2 linked regions of the Oryzias latipes genome follow. The protein of the gene in region 2 binds, or shares a complex with, the protein of the main gene of each other region. Links are inferred from orthologs where the notes say so. Each region holds a gene or a part of one and is shown on either strand. Other genes may lie near its edges.

Evidence for each region.
Region 1: rtraf (region 2) and zbtb8os share a complex: the UniProt entries of both Homo sapiens proteins name them as parts of the tRNA-splicing ligase complex. The link is inferred for Oryzias latipes from reciprocal best matches to the Homo sapiens genes RTRAF and ZBTB8OS.

What each region holds. Positions count from the first base shown.
Region 1 is NC_019880.2:14,997,383-15,001,776, reverse strand, and holds zbtb8os (protein archease), read left to right. Parts: upstream 1-1,294; 5' UTR 1,295-1,329; coding exon 1,330-1,456; intron 1,457-1,576; coding exon 1,577-1,601; intron 1,602-1,686; coding exon 1,687-1,808; intron 1,809-3,562; coding exon 3,563-3,645; intron 3,646-3,740; coding exon 3,741-3,793; intron 3,794-3,951; coding exon 3,952-3,988; intron 3,989-4,060; coding exon 4,061-4,147; 3' UTR 4,148-4,267; downstream 4,268-4,394. Other genes in the region: histone-binding protein RBBP4, read right to left, coding at 1-75, 159-306, 723-738. UniProt on the Homo sapiens protein: Component of the tRNA-splicing ligase complex required to facilitate the enzymatic turnover of catalytic subunit RTCB. Together with DDX1, acts by facilitating the guanylylation of RTCB, a key intermediate step in tRNA ligation.
Region 2 is NC_019860.2:16,861,511-16,865,964, forward strand, and holds the start of rtraf (RNA transcription, translation and transport factor protein), read left to right. Parts: upstream 1-1,548; 5' UTR 1,549-1,660; coding exon 1,661-1,721; intron 1,722-2,163; coding exon 2,164-2,288; intron 2,289-2,359; coding exon 2,360-2,459; intron 2,460-3,790; coding exon 3,791-3,868; intron 3,869-3,949; coding exon 3,950-4,038; intron 4,039-4,150; coding exon 4,151-4,219; intron 4,220-4,454. Other genes in the region: histone deacetylase complex subunit SAP18, read left to right, coding at 1-68, 787-896, 996-1,118, 1,188-1,344. UniProt on the Homo sapiens protein: RNA-binding protein involved in modulation of mRNA transcription by Polymerase II. Component of the tRNA-splicing ligase complex and is required for tRNA ligation.

The sequences.
Region 1 (4,394 bases), on a different chromosome or scaffold from region 2:
ACGAGGTGGTTCTGCTCATCTGAAGTGTGCGTCCCCAGAACCAGCCTGTGCACGCTGTAATCCTTTCCCTCCGGTCTGAGGGAAAAGAACACAAAAGCTACATTAGATGGCCAAATATCTTACGGATTTCTAAAAATGATCTGAGACATTTTTCTCACCTGGTGACATCTGGGAGCCACTGAGCAGTGAGACTGGGCCACTCCAGCGCGTGGGTCATAACCAAGTCATAAAGAAAAGGGGTGTTCTTCTTCCAGATCTTGTACTCCTCATTGATCACTCTTTCCTCCACAGCATCATCAAATGCAGCTAAAAAATACAATTAACCAAAACCGACAGATTTTTAAGATAAAAGCTTTATCGTACTATTTTTGGTTGCAAATGTAAAGTTTTTTTTTTATTTACAATCAAACATTATTTTAAACTAAGAAAAAATAGGAATGGTTTATTAACCAAATACAATGTATTCTGAATTCTTGAGTTGGATTAATGATTAATAAAAATAAGACATTGATAATAAATGGTAAAAATTAGTCTACTTTTATCTACGTAGGTTGACGCTAGAAGCTAGCAAGCTAACAGCTAAATTGCTACTCTAACAATGAGAAGAGCCGCTGGCCGGCGCGCTGCGATCCCCGGTGCATTCAAAACTAAGCTCTTTTAACCACTCTGCGTAGCAAACGTCCACATTTACTCTTTTCGTTCGAAATAGTATACACTCTTACCGTCTTTGTCAGCCATCGTGCAACGGTAAAATGGCTAGTATTGGTAGAAAATAAGTATTTTATGGGACAGCACTCAAAAGACAGCACGCAGCCTTTCAATGGCGCCAACTCCGTGGAAGGGAGGCTGACCAATCACCATCGAGAAAACCCGACAGGAAGTTATTACAGCAAAGAGGCAACTTCCGGGGCTTCCAGTCTTGAACTCATACGTTTTGGTGCATTCATGTACCACTGAAACTCGGAAATAGGATATTTATCTTTAGAAACATGCAAGAACGCTCCTAACAGACGTAGCTTTGATCCTTAGTAGTTCACTCGCGTAAATGTTCAAAATAATTATCTTTATTTACGTTGATGGGGTTAAAGTAATGTTGGAGGTAGTAATGTATTATTCTTGTCACGATATATTTCAAAGTGTCTTTCACAAATTGGAATACCTGTTATGTTTTAGTTCTGTCACAGTAACATCTACAAGTCAGTGGCATATGATAAAAACTCGTATATTGCGACACATGTTTTCCTTGCAATTTGCAAGAAATGAGTTACAGATTCCCATTTTCGTGTTCCGTGAACGCAGCATGCATTTCCTGTTCCGACATGATTCTAAATGACGGATAGTTTTTTTTTTATACTTGACGCACTTCGAACTGCAATGGACGACCGTGAGCTAGACCTGACAAACGAACAGAAAGCTGTCAAGTCAAAGTATCCTCCGATCAACAAAAAATATGAATGTAGGTCTCAAGAAAGGAAAATAAATGTTGTTAGCGTAGCTTGTTTATAGCTGAATGAAAACTGACAAATGACATGATGTGAAAAAAATAATGATAACAAACTCTTTTTAAATATTGTAGACCTGGACCATACAGCAGATGTACAGTGAGTATGTTGTATTTGAAATGCGGGGGCTGCTATTGATCTGTGTTTAGTTAGTGCTATTGTTTTTATATTTTTTTATTCCAAGAATTCACTCTTGGGGAGACTCCTTGGAAGAAGCTTTCGAGCAGTGTGCCATGGGCATGTTCGGCTACATGACCGACACAGAGACCGTAGAGCCTCTGGATACCGTTGAAGTGGAGTCAGAAGGTGAGAAAAAGACGCAGAAAATAGTTATCCGCTCAAAATAAAGTATGACGAAGGGGAGCACCTCAGTCATTCATGTCATTCTATTTAATTTATAGAAGAAGAATAGAAGCTCATAGAAGCTCTCTCTCTATATATGTGATATTGTGTGAAAAAGATGTAATTCTTCACACTATATATACTCTTCTCAAGTGTTCTTAGTGTCCATTTTGAACATTTTGAGGACATTGCTGCTTTTTATTTACATTAAATAAATTGCTAAAAGGCTGTCAATGACAGACTGGACTGGTCAACTAACACAGGTGTCCTGTACAACGGGGGTCAGGGTCGACTCCACGGCACTTGCTAAGGAGTCTAGGGTCCTTTGGAGTTTTCAGTCCCGGTAAAGACTTTTTATGATAGTGTTGTTGTGTCTGTCCTCTTCTGTGGAGTGTGTTGCGGGAAGATACACTGACAGAAACAGGAAGAGGATTGACAAACCGGTGCGGAGATCCGTCTTCATTCTGGGATGTCTTGTAGAGTCTGTGATGCTGGTGGGTGAGAGGAGGATGGAACGGAAACTGTGATCCATCATGGATTGTCCTCGTCACCCTCTGCTTTAGTAAAAAGGCATTCTTAGTCTTTGTTCTCTTAGGCCAGGGGTCTGCAACCTTTAACACCGAAAGAGTTATTTGGTCCAGTTTCTTACTGAATAAAACACAGCTAGAGCCACTGAGTCCTACTTAACCTCCATCTACCCATCCATCCTCCGTCCCTTCGCTCATCCGGGGCTGGGTCGCGGGGGCAGCAGTCTCAGCAAAGATGCCCAGACTTCCCTCACCCTGGCCACTTCCTCCAGCTCCTCTGGGGGGAACCCGAGACGTTCCCACGTTTTTTTAGGTTTAGGTGGCCATCCAGCCATTCAAATATGAACTCAATTTTTTAAAGAATATTTACAATAGTTACATTATAAAAGTGTTATAGTTTCTATAAGTAACAATTTCAACATCTTTGCTTTTGACAGTTGCACAAACAAGTTCCTTTCAAAATAAAGTACATCCTGTGTCCAAGAAGATCCCCTTACTGCATCCGATTTACTCAATGTAACAATGCAAGAAAACCGAGTCAAACATTGCATTTTCTATTAGTTACAACTGCTATTGTGCAGCATATATTAGAATAAATTGACCAATTTAATATTTTTTAGAATTGCTTGCATTTTTCTTAGAAGCCACAGTTGAGGGAGCCTCAGGTTGCAGGATAAAAAGACTTATTGTTAGATGTTTTTAATTGCTTTAATTTCTTGTAGTGTCTCTCCTTTCTCTTTTCACTAAAAATCACAAACCCATTAAGTTGAAATTACTATTCAAATGATGACTGATGGGTACATATGAGTAAAATGAATCCTCAGTTGTTTTCAGGGGCAGGCTCATTGTCACATTTACTGATGGAAAGAGTTGCTTTAACTCAAAGCAGCAAACGTGTACTTGATGGGATTATCTACAAAAAGTTTGAGACAATCATTTGCTTTTTAAAGGACTGTTGGCCAACACATAATGGAGCTCAAGGTTTAAGTGTAGTGTAATGTCTTTGAGAAACATTTTTATAGTAAATCTTGGAAAATGCTTTTGTTGGCCTGTCTCAACCACACTGAAACCCCTTAAAGAGCTAGACTTGCTAAATATTTTTGATAATTAATACATTTACATTTTTGTTGTGGATCTATGTTTACTGAAAACATAAAACTAATAGCATATGTACTTGCTTCCTTTCACAAGGTGAAGATATGGAGTCTCTTCTCTTCCATTTCCTAGATGATTGGTTATACAAATTTAGTGCAGATCTCTTCTTTGTACCCAGGGTGAGTATCTTATTTGTTTGTGGAGTAATATTGTTTTTGTCATTACATTTTCATGTTATAAGCTTATTGTTGTTGTTTTTTTCTCTGTTCATCAGGAGATAAAGGTTTTGCACATAGACAGAATGCATTATAAGATTCGCTCCATCGGGTAGGATTGGGCTCATTTGATCAACTTCATAAATACCAAAACTTCAGAAACCATTTTTTCAATGCACTAGTTTAGTTAAGTTTTCCAAAAAGTTCTACTGGTTGATGGGATTTTGCAAGCTGTTGAAGCTTTCTCCACACCATTTTTGTTTTGCATAGGTGGGGAGAGGAATTCTCCATATCAAAGCATCCTCAGGTGGGTCAGAAATAAAATGAGCCATGTGTAAAATTTCTACAGCATCTTTAACTTGTCCTCTTATGTCCTCAGGGGACTGAGGTCAAAGCCATCACATACTCTGCCATGCAGATTCATGATAAGGAAAAACCAGAAATATTCACCATCATTGACATCTAAACCCCTTTGGGGGCAGAAAACACTCCCGAGTTCCAACTTCTTCATCAATCTACAAATCAACAAATGCTTTTATTTGATTAATGTTTGCTGAGGCTTCAAAATAAAACTTGTCAACATTGAGTGCTCATTCTTATTCGAGGTACAAGAGTTAGATGTAGACATGAGCTGGTAGCTTTTCATTGAAAACTGGACTGCTGGGTCATTCTGATTCAAACTTTAGGGGAAGATAAATAGATTTTTACACACA
Region 2 (4,454 bases):
CTTTAGAATCCAGAATCACTCAAGAAGAAATTAAAAAGGAGCCAGAGAAACCCATTGACCGGGAGAAGGTAAAAACAGCGGCTCGTTAGCCACGGATGTAGCTAGCAGCCTGGTTTGCTAGGCTAACAACATGCTAAAGGGTATTAAACACAATAACGTCCAACGCCGAAAGCAGCAAAAATTACTATTTTTGTGGCTGAATTTTGCTGCTAAAGGTAGTTTATAAAAGTCTATTTAAATTAACCCAATAAGTGATTTAATGGTTAAAAGAAATCAACCGTTTTGGTGACATACGCGTGCTAGGGTTAGCCTGCTAGCTGATGGCTACATCATGTGAGATTACCAGGGTCCTGGTCCCTCGTGTCCCCCTACATTTGGGTCGCGTGGGCTTATGTTCTGAAGGGAGGCTTTATTCATGTGCTTTTTGGTCGAACCTGTTTAATCGGGTTTCCCGAACTTTGGATCAGTGGGTTCTAGAACCTCAACCCCCCCTTCCCCACCCTCCCTCGCTGAGACTAAAGTCGATACTACGACATTGAACTGGAACCACTTGGATTGTAAAATAATTGTAAATTATTTACTTAAAAATGCAGTACAATACATTTATCACATGCAGTGGTTTTAAATGTATCAATATAGCGCGAGGGGCAGGCAGTCTAATAGAATTCAGCAGCTGGCACACAGTACACTTCCGTTTCACTTGCAAAATAAAAGCATTTAAAAAAGGTCTTTGGACCCAGTATTTCAGTTACTGTTTAAATGTAATGCCTGTATTCTTTTTTGCAGACCTGCCCTCTTCTGCTGCGAGTTTTTACCACCAACAGCGGCCGCCACCACAGAGTAGACGAATTCGCTCGAGGAAATGTTCCCTCAAGTGAACTGCAGATTTACACGTGGTACGTAACTGGTTCCGACTTCCTGGTACTTTAACCCAAGAGTCCAAATGAAATCTAAAGTGAGTCTATTTCTTTCATTTTTTTTTTTTTTTTGGCCAGGATGGATGCCACTCTGAAAGAACTCACCAGTTTAGTGAAGGAGGTTTATCCAGAGGCCAGAAAAAAGGGGACCCACTTTAGCTTCGCTATAGTCTTCCCTGATCTCAGAGGGAAAATGTACAAGTACGTATAATTGTCGTAAACAGCTGTGAATTGGTTTTTTGCTTTGATTGAACCTGTTTTGTTCTGTAGGTTCAAAGAGATCGGCAGTACGATATCTGGCAGAAAGGGTCCAGATGACTCCATGACCTTGCAGTCTCAGCGGTTCCAGATTGGGGATTACCTGGATATCGCCATCACGCCTCCCAACAGAGCCCCGCCTCTTGGCCCACGAATGCGTCCTTTCTGAACCCATGCTCACCTAAATATGTGCTTTGATTGACAACTCTATTTCATTTGTGTCTTCAGTAGTTTTGTGTCATTTTCTAATAAAAAAAAACTTGTGTTCAATAAAGACTTTTCATTTCAAAAATTCACCCTTTTGTTTTTTCTTTCTTGGTCACTAAAATAGTTCGTCACTTTATTTTGAAAGGTAGGCCTACAGATTGCAGTCTCCGGTCGCGCATGCGTAGATTCTCAAACAGTCAGCTAGCAGCAAACTAGCGTAGTTAGCTTTGCTGCGGCGTGAAAACACGTTTTCTCTATCAGAAAATCTCCAAGGTGAAATGTTTCGTAGAAAACTCACTGCTCTGGATTATCACGACCCCGACGGATTCGATTGTTCGGGTAAGAAAACGTTTAAATACGGCGAAGGGGGGAGAAATTCACCCGTTTCCAGCTGACGTTGTCATTATTGTGGAGCCGAACTAAAACTACCCTTCTAAAAATAGCAACTTTATAAGTTATGTGTTCAAAATAGCAACAAGAAAGATTCAAATGTCGTTCTATTTATAGTTTAGAAAGTTTACTGTACCATAATTAATTCGGCGTAGACAGCTTCATGATTTGATCTACTTAATTGAAGAAATTATAACTTTTTTTTTAGCTGCTTGCTAGTTTTTCTAAAACGTTTGCGTTCGTGCATCACTATGCTAGTTTATACAATTGTTTTCAGGCTCTGTGTCCAACTACACCCAAAACCCATAGCTACTAGTACTTAATGCGCATTTCAAAGTAAACCAGGTTGAACTTTGACCAGATGACTGCAGTGCTTCTACATGATCTGCAGATGAGACTCAGTTCAGGAACTGCATCGTGTGGCTGGAAGACCAGAAGATCCGACACTACAAGATAGAGGACCGAGGTAACTTGAGGAACATCCCCAGCTCGGACTGGTCCAACGCCTTTCAGAAAGTGAGTGTCTGCTGTGCTGCAGCGTCCCCCCACCCGAACCTTCGGGGTTCTGACTGTGTGTGTGTGTGCAGTATCTGCAGGACCTGAACTGTCCGTTTGGCGCAGAGGAGAGGAAAGAAGCTGTGGACTGGTTACTTGGCCTGGCTGTGCGATACGAGTATGGAGATAACGGTGAGATTCAGCAGTGGCAGGAGCATTTGTGGGGGGGTGCAGTACTCAACAATGACCACTAGATGGAGATAGTAAAAGGAAATTCAACTAGTCTGATTCAGAAGTCCCTCCAAAATAGGGGCGATTAAGCCAGTAATTATTTTCAAAACAAAGAAGGGGAGATACTGCTGTTACCCTAAAATCATCCCCTCTACCCCTTTTTTCTTTGCTCTTCTTTATACAAACAAAATACAAAAGAAGCTGCATCACGCAAAACCCGGAAAAAATTTAATTCTGAACATTTACCATAAAATAGTAAGTTGCTAATGACTTAATTCCCTCACCTTTTCAAAATAAAAGGAGGAAATATTGCTTGGACTGTTGACCACAAGATTTGCGGTAGCTTTATACTGAAACATCAATCATTGTTTTTGAACAAGTGCAATGACACATATTTTTGTGTCTCTCTAAACCCTTTTAGATTATTTTTAGCGTTTTTGTTTTATTTTGTTTTTTTAAACAGTTGTAAAAAGAAACTAATGTGAAGTTTTGTATATGTTTTTCCAAGTTACACACTATAGCTCTGTGGGGGAGTATTTAGCATCACCCCTGTGTGTGTGTGTTTTTGGTTTTCTTCTGGGATACTTTGTTGCCAACTTTTCAGCTCTGCAGCATCAAATTCGCCCACAAAATGAATTATTCTGAACGTTGGACGTTGGTAGTTGTTGGAGCGCGCTCAGTAAGGCCCTTTAAGGGTTGAGAAATTACAGGGTAAACACCCCGTTTTGATTGCAAATACTTTTAAAAAACAATCAAATGAGGTCTATAGAGAAATGCATCAATAAAATGAGTAAATATTAGCCATAAATATTAGCAGACACTAGAAGTGAAAAGGGATCAATTTGTTTCTGGAACCAGTCCCCCAGTGGCAACCTTGGGTACTACATTAACTTCATATTATTGTATATTTCTGTTTAAAGAGCTTTTTTATTTCACCAGACAAAACTCCTGTATTAAATATCTTAGTTTTGACACTAGGTGGAGCTGCTGCCCCAAACATGTCAGCTTCTGCAAGAATGAGGAATTGCGGAAGGAAGAACTGTTTGTGGGCAACAATAAAGCACATAATTTGCAAATAATTTATGTTTTTTTTCATTTTCCCCCTGTTTTTGCTGTCAAATAAGACAAAAAACACCAAACTGAGATCACTCTAGACATGTCTTGTAGTCTGCAGTTACTGCAGGCTCACAAGGTGAAAATCTTGGCTACATTTTGAAATAATTCACCACTTTCTGTGGTCGTCAGGGGGCAGAAGTTGGATCACCGTTTTTGTTGTTGATTTATTTTATCAGTTGAAAAGTACAGGAACTGTCAGCCGCTGGCGTCCGGGAACAGCGACAAAGCGGTGGATCCGCTCCTCAACCTCGACAGTAAGTCTCTGTTTTCACTTCTGCTACTGGAAAACTTTTTATGTTATATTTTTTTTACATTTTGTCACATTCTTTTTCCAGGTAATTCTCCGGATTTCAAGGCAGGAGTTACGGCTCTGGCCAACATCCTGAAGATCCAGCGACACGACGATTACCTGGTCATGCTTAAGGTGGAATGAAGAGAGGGTTCATTCCCCATTTGAGTCAAGTTTGAAATGATTTATCCTTAATTTATCTCAAGTTTTTGCCTTTTTTTTGTTTGTGTTGTTTTCCCATTCTCAGGCCATTCGCATTCTGATCCAGGAGCGATTGTCTCCAGAGGCGATCACCAAAGCCAACCAGAGCAAGGAGGTAAATGGTGGCCTTAGTGTTCAGCTATGTTTACGTCGCCCTCGGCAACGCGCCTTCAAGCTACCACTTGCAGTGAAAAGTCTATGTCGTAGATGCACGTTTAGGGGCTACCGTGTTAGTTAACTAAAGTGCGTTAAAAGTTAAACCAGTTGAACTTTGACCTGTCAGGGACTCGGATTTGGGAGTGTCAACTTTTTGAAAATTGATCGTGGATTCATACGATTTTTTACAGCTT